Linked DNA regions of Lonchura striata. The protein of the gene in region 2 interacts with the protein of the main gene of each other region in a pairwise test. Links are inferred from orthologs where the notes say so. Each region holds a gene or a part of one and is shown on either strand. Other genes may lie near its edges.

Evidence for each region.
Region 1: the proteins of keratin, type I cytoskeletal 19-like (region 2) and OIP5 interact in binary tests that used the Homo sapiens proteins (3 or more experiments, as listed by UniProt). The two-hybrid records come from large-scale screens. The link is inferred for Lonchura striata from reciprocal best matches to the Homo sapiens genes KRT15 and OIP5.

What each region holds. Positions count from the first base shown.
Region 1 is NC_134608.1:37,494,854-37,498,601, forward strand, and holds the start of OIP5 (protein Mis18-beta), read left to right. Parts: upstream 1-1,412; 5' UTR 1,413-1,445; coding exon 1,446-1,761; intron 1,762-1,884; coding exon 1,885-1,951; intron 1,952-2,925; coding exon 2,926-3,048; intron 3,049-3,546; coding exon 3,547-3,628; intron 3,629-3,748. Other genes in the region: NUSAP1 (nucleolar and spindle-associated protein 1), read right to left, coding at 983-1,075. UniProt on the Homo sapiens protein: Required for recruitment of CENPA to centromeres and normal chromosome segregation during mitosis.
Region 2 is NC_134627.1:6,767,409-6,771,156, reverse strand, and holds the start of keratin, type I cytoskeletal 19-like, read right to left. Parts: upstream 2,199-3,748; coding exon 1,671-2,198; intron 1,184-1,670; coding exon 1,101-1,183; intron 304-1,100; coding exon 147-303; intron 1-146.

The DNA.
Region 1 (3,748 bases), on a different chromosome or scaffold from region 2:
ACCTAGGACTCGTTCAAGTCAGTCAGTTAGAGAAAGTGCCTAAGGCCACAGATAAACATGTAGATATCCTCCACCGAGGCACAAAGGCAATTTTCCATGCCTAGGTTTCTCCTGCTCTATTTTCCAGGGGGTTAATATTCAAGGAAGGAGATAAACTGTTTTAAGCCCCATAGCGCAGCTGAACTTGAATTAAAATTGTGTCAAATTTCTGCAATTGCTTCTGTCTTGCCCCGTGCTACGTGCAAAACATTCTTTTCATCCCTGTCACGCATTCAACAGTGATAGTAACAAAACAACAATGAAAACACACCACTGATAAGCCAGGCTATGAAAGACTCTTGAACACCTAAGTGGAAAGGTCAGCACAAAAACAAACAAAGTACCCCAGAACTACCATTCCCAGAAAAACTCTTGGTCTGTGAGGACAGGGAGCTGCCTTGTCCACCCAAGCCGTGGATCCTTCTTTTAAGGCTTTACGAGCTGTGCCATTGCTGCCAGGAGGAGCCCGGCCGTGCCTCACAAGCACCTGCAGCTCCTGGCAGGAGCCTGGGGCATCCTTAAACTTCTCACCCCTTAACCGCGCCCGCCAAACGCATCTCCTCCCTTAAGGTACTCTCTTGTCACTCTTCCTCCCACTCCGAGTCGTAAGGGAAAAAAACAAACCAAACCAACCAAACAAACACAACTATCCGCACTGGCGGCGGACAGCGCGGGGTCACCGGCGTGGGGAACAGCCGGGCCAGCAGAGAAGGGAGCGGCCTCCCCTTCTCGATGCCCGGGGGACACCGGAGCCCCGCTCTCTCCCCACACTGAGTGCTTGCCCGCCTCCCGGACGGCAGCACAGCCCCGGGGCGCCCCGGCGCCGCTCCAGACGCGGGAGGTGCGCCCGGCGAGGCTGGGGACGTCACGCTACCGGGCACGGGGGCACCCCAGAACCCGGAGCTTCGTGGGCAGCGCTGCCTCGCAGCTGCCCCCGCCTCACCCGCAGGTTGGCCCTCAGCCCGGCGGCCTTGGCGATGCGCTGGAGCTCGGCGTATTTCAGCGCCTCCAGGGGCTGCAGCGAAGCGAGCGCCATGACAGCAGCTCCGACCGACCCGCCTGCCCGCCGCGCGCCAACCGACACCGCTCGCGCCGCCCCCGCCGTTCGAACTGGCCCGCTGCGCCAGCCCATTGGCTGGGCCGCCGAAGGGGCGTGGCCGAAGGGGGCGGAGCGAGGGAGCCGCCAATGGCGGCGCGGCCCGCCGCGCGTGCTTATTTTCAAGCGCGATGAGGCGTTCCCGGCAAAGAAAGTCGCGCGCGGTGCAGCCCGCTGCCCAATAGCCGCGGGCGGCGCGGATTGACGCTCCTTCTGTCCAATGGCAATACAGAGGTGCGCACCACGCTCCAATCACGATGCTTACGATGCTTGGGGGCGGGCCCCGCGCCCGAGCGCTTGGCGGGAGGAGATGGCGGTGCGGCAGCGGCTGCGACAGCTGTTCCAGGACCCGCAGACCGTCGGGGCCATTGTGCTGGAGCGGGCGCCCGCCCTTGCCTCTACCGCCTGCGTCTCGCTGTCGGCGCCCCGGACGCCGCCCCGGCCGCCGCCCCTGTCGCCGTCTTCCGTGCCGCCGGCCGAGGTGCCGGCGTCGCCGCCGCGGCAGCAGGGTCCGCTGCCGGAGGAGTGCGCCGTGTTCCACTGCCGCGGCTGCTGGACAGTGCTGGGAGACTCGCTGCAGCTGTGCGGGCAAGAGCCGCCGGGGCTTAGCGTCCTCATCTGCTTCAGTCAGTGCCTCCTCCGCGCCGGCTGGTGCTGAGGACGCGCCGCTGCCCCGCGCGGACCTCGGGGCGGGCAGCGGGGCTTGGTCCGGGGGCTCTCTGCTGCAGCGCGTCTCTCTTTCTCCTCAGGAGTCACCAATGATGTGACCTGGGAAGAGTCGCTGTTGGTCGGCCTCGAGGGAGCCCTCCTGGGATGGTGCGTAGCTCCCGTAGTTCCGGCAGCGGACCTGCCCGAGTGGCCGCCGCGGTGAATCGTGCGCACGAAGCCGGGAGCTCTCCGGCCTGTGCGCGGGGATGCTCAGGAGTTTGGCAAGTCACTGCCAGTGACTTCTGTGCCTGTTTCACACCTCGGATGGAGATACTTTTTGTAGGGATGTAGTTCTCACTTGAAATCGAGATTTTTGCTGCTATAACCTCTGTAGGTGGAGAGAAACATTCGAGCAATGCAGTAGAATACAGCTTAACTTGTAGGTCCCTTTCTTCTCTTCCCTCAAAGGTCTCTTGCTTAAAGCATCTCTGGGTTTTGTTTGGTTTGGTGGGTTTTTGGTTGCTTTGGTTTGGTTTTGCGGGGAGGGGTGGCTATTGGTTGGTCGGTTTTTCTTAATACTGAAAATAAAAAACTTGTGCTGCCCCATTCAGGAACCTATCTTTTGCAAGGTTTGGTAACTCAGTCTAACGGGAAGAATGTAAAATGTCATCTAGGGGCTTACAGAACCAGTAGCTTGTTTAAATGATTTTTAAAAGCTGTTTTATAAACTGTCAGAACTGGGAACTGCTTCAATATAAGACTTGCTCTTTTTTTGACTTTTTTCCTTGCCCCTCTCTCTGCATGGGGTAATGATATATTTTATTAGAATTTTCAACTGGTGCATCCATTATTTTATTATTTAAATTATGTTTGAGTAGAATATGTAAATCATTCTGTGATAATAAGATGTGCATTTTCTTCCTTAACAGCAACTTCACTTATTTGAGAGATTGCTTCTTTCACAACATGCCCAATTTCTTATGGTCATACTACTTTGTACATATTACTTTTCTGAAGAGGATGCGTTATTATGCCTTGGATTTTTTCCCAATGGAACTGAAGATTTTATGCTCTCTGACAAATATGCAATATCTGTGGTTTCAAAAGCTTCTGTTTAAAAACACTTCCCTTTCTCCTTTTAGTACTTATTATTTATTATTCTGTCGATCTTGTGGCTCGGCTGTGGGCTTCATTCTTTACTCTTCTGGCAGTGACCTGGTGTATCTCCGGGACTTGTTCTGTTTCTTCAAGGACAGCATCATGTGGTGAGTACACTGCATTCCATGGTCAGTGACTTCACAGGTAGTTTCAAGTCACTGTACAACTAGCCTACAGCTAACAAAAGTGGTTTAACTTCTGTCTGAGCACATTGGTGTGGGATATTAATATTCTTGATGACTAAATTGTGTTGATGTGAATCCCTTTGATTTCCTTGCACCTCTTGAGTGTCCTTGTGCAATGCAAGACTTCATACTTCGTTGTGTGCAATGCTGAAATCTCTTCAGTTCCAGATTCATTTAGCTAATGTAAGGTATCAAAGTGATTATTTGATTGGTTGAGAACTTGACTGCAGAAGCTGTAAATTACTGAGAGGATCTTGATTCCAAAGTAAAACCATTGCTGTATTTTGAATATTTTCATAATTATTACTTTTGGCAACAACCTTGTATCTGATTTAAAATAATTTTAAATCATCTGTCTAAATAGTGCAACTACAGGTTTTGTAACTGTGTTTTTTTTCCCTTTCCCGTTTTGTTTTCCAGTTATCTCTTAAAAAATCAAATGATTGTAGAAGCTTCTAAGGTCAATTTTCCAGCTGTGACCTTAAAGGAAAACATGCAGAAAGTAAGATTTCCACAATAATGGAAAATACTTTTAAAATACTGATAATTTTGGACATTAATTCAAAAACATTGATACAAATGTGGGGGTTTTAAGTGCTTAGGACTGAGAAACTGCTGCCTT
Region 2 (3,748 bases):
ACATTTTCTCTCTCATTACAACAGCTTCCCTATCTCTGTGTACTCATACAGGACACACGTATTTACATGTGACTTACATGTATGTTTCATTTGCAAGAGCTAAAATCCAAAGGGGAGTGATCTCCATGCACTGCCAGGACTCTCACCTCTTCGTGGTTCTTCTTCAGATAAGCCAGCTCCTCCTTCAGTGTCTCAATCTGCATCTCCAGGTCAGTTCTGGACAGGGTCAGCTCGTCCAGGACCCGGCGCAGGCCGTTGATGTCAGACTCCACGTTCTGGCGCAGGAACAGCTCATTCTCATACCTGCAGTTCAAAAAAGAAACAAGCACTGGAATGTTTCTGTGGTTGTATTCAACAGAGCTATAAAATGATCACATATGGGAGCAACAGTGGACTGTAGATGATACAGATTTAGAAGTGTAAAAGCAATAAAGCTGTTCCAATATCCAGATACAGCATAAAGGAAGCACAGACAAAGCCATATGATTTTGTTCTTGAGGGAGACATGACATTTCACCTTGCAGAACATAATACTGATTATCAGCATCAATAGAAACATTGTCACACAGGACAGGAGTTTTGCAGTGTCATCCCAGATTTGTGTAGGAAAGCACAGGTGGGGCAGGGCTGCCGGGGACACAGGAGGGAAAAGAGAAACCTGCAGGTGCATTCCTGCCGGGAAGGCAGCTGCACATGGACCTTTATCATCTGATGTGCTGCTGAGCCTGGGAGCTGCAAAAGCCCCACCTGACTCTAAATTTCAGACTCCAGCAGAGAAATGCTGAAGCCCCACAGCAACCTCTTCCTCCCACTCAGTTCCTTCTAAGTGAAAATCCCACCTATTCCTGCCTTCTTTCCCCTGTGATTCAGGCTAGTAAAAATATTTGAGTGTCACAAAAAAATGAAGACACAGGCTATAACTGATCCTGCAAACAGCTCAGTGATCTGAATGCTGTGTTCTGTCAGGTTTATACTCTGAATTGGTCCTTCATCAATGGATTCTGCTTGCCAGGATGTTTTGTATTGAAGTTACTAAAGAAAAAACTGTTTAGAGAGAGTGACAAGTAGAGTGAAGACAAATGAGCTTCAGGTGAACTTACTTCAGTCTAAAGTCATCAGCAGCCAGCCTGGCATTGTCAATCTCCAAAATGACCCGGGAATTGTCAATGGTAGCAGCAAGGATCTGGCAATTAGAAACAGAGAGAAAAATTCCTGTGAATAATGGTAAAATATCTGATCCACATTCCATGAGCAAACCAGAGAGCTGTGATACTCCATGCAAGACAAATTAGAACCACAGGGAAATGGGAAATGTGTTTGTACTATACCTGATCTTATCTGTAGCCAGGTGAATTATTTTTCCAGTCTTTGAGGCCTACCTGTCACATTCTTTACTATTTGATTTCTGAATAAATATATTGATAATTCTAAACACATTTTGCTAACTTTTACTGCAATCATTTTAATTTCAACAAACATCACATTGTCAGGGTAAGATATTTGTGTTTAAATTGAGAAGAGGCTACTCCATTCTGCTAGAATGCTCTGGACCTCGATGTATTTGGGATGAGGAATTCACTACTTCTTTTGTAATTATTTTAAAGACATGGAACATGCAGTTCCAAAATTCTCTTGCCTTCTTAAAACTCCTCTACATATGAATGCCATACCTTGTCTCGGAGCTCTTCAATTATCTTGTAGTAATTGCTGTAGTCACGGGCGGGGCTGGTGGGAGCTTGTTTCTGGTACCAGTCTCGGATTTTCACTTCTAACTCTGAATTGGCCTCTTCCAGGGCTCGTACCTTGTTCAGGTACGAAGCCAGCCGGTCATTCAGGTTCTGCATGGTTATCTTCTCATTGCCAGAGAGGAGGCCATCGCCACCAACAAAGCCACCACTGAAGTCAAATCCTCCACCAAAGCCAGAGCCCCCTCCAAAGCCAGAGCCCCCTCCAAAGCCACAGACTGCTCCCCCTCCAAAACCTCCTCCATAGCCCCCGCCAAAGCCGCAGCCTCCTCCTGAAGAGGAGACGTACCTGGCTGAGGAGATGGAGACACCCCGGCCGCCAGAGCCGCCGTGGATGCTCGGGGCCCGGCAGGTGCCTCCGACGCGCACCGAGGACAGGCGAGAGCTGCTGCCCCCGGCGCCCCCAAAGCCACCCCCGTAGGTGGAGGAAGAGCTCATGAAGGAAGTGGCCATGGCTGAAGCAAGAGCAGGAGCAAGGGTCAGTTATGCAGCCCGGCAAGAGAAGACAGCCTGTGCCTTCACTGCCCTCGTGCCTCTTTTATATGCTCACGATCGGGCGTTGGGAGACAAACCCCACTGCAGCCCTCCCTCCAAAATTCCTCCTCCCTAGAGGTGAGGCCAGCTATGATGACATTCCTGACAAGCAGTGCTGGCAGCACATCGCAGGGGCTTGGGCTTGGGGTTTCTTTTTTTAATTAAACAAAAGGCATGAATCAGATGATGTTTTTTCTTCAGGCTATAGTTCTGAAACTTGGAGTTTACTTCTCTGACATTTAAGAATGGAAAAACAAAGTGAGTTCAGCCCCACCCACTTACCTATTTACAATGCTTACCATGGCTACCTTCAGAAAATCAACTTTTTCTAAAATTGAGGCTTAAATAAAATTCTCTTTTCATTGAAAAATGTACAATCATCTCTTCATCTCACCATTATTCCTTTTCTATCTGTATTTTTTTCCTTTAAAATTTTGGAATTGAATTAGAAATGTTCTTATTGATTTTTTTCTTGGAACTAATATTTAGATTTTTGGAGTCTGAATTTTTATTACAAAAAGCATCTATTCATGGCACTATGTGAGGAACAATCAGCATCCATCAGTGTGCAAGGGAGAGTGGAAACAGTAAATTTATTAATCATTATGAAATAGTTCAGAAAGGTATCACAGCTCGAAACAACTCAGTTAAAAGAGTAAATGTGGGAGGACTAAGATCCTGTTACTGTACAGAAAATATAAAGAGAATGGGTTTAAGATAATGCTGTTCTTATAGCAATACATGTGTTTAATGCCAATGTGTTTAAGGAAATGGAGTAGTATTTGAAAATAAGTCTTGAGAAACACTCAAAGAGGCACCTTAATCCTTCATTTAAAGCAGGAGTCTAAACAGAAATACATAATTGAGCTGATAAATTGCCAGTGAAATTCAGGAATTCATTCATTCAGCCCTGTTCACCCTGCAGGGAAGACAGATTTGGGCAGCGTGTGAGGAAGCAAGAGCTACCCGTGTGCCCTGCTGGGCATGGGGTTTGAAGAGTGTGGGGTTTGCAGAGCACCCCATTGTCTGCACAACACAGGACCTCAAGTAAAGCTCAAAGAAGAAAACTGATACGTTTTGCTAAAAACATCCTAAGAAGAGCATTGTTTTTAGCACAGTCTTTGGCAGTACAGAAGCTGAGTTTAGAACTCAGGATTGGGATTTCGGATTAGCCAAGGCTCACAGTGTAATGGGAGTTGTTGGAATAAACCGGGGGGGTTTCTGATATTTCCAGCTGAGATGTTAATGCAGGCACAAGGAATGCACAGCATTTTCACTTGGAGATGTGCACTTGGGAGGGAAGAAATGGCACAGTCCAGCTGTGATGTGACCTTGCAGGCTGGCTCTGGGCATGGCCACTCACTGCAGGCTGAGCAGAGCACATGGGTGGGTGTTCACTGCTCTGGAAACATGTTTCAAACTGAACCTGGCCCTTTGCCACAGCCCTTCAGTTTTGCTGCTGGGCAGAT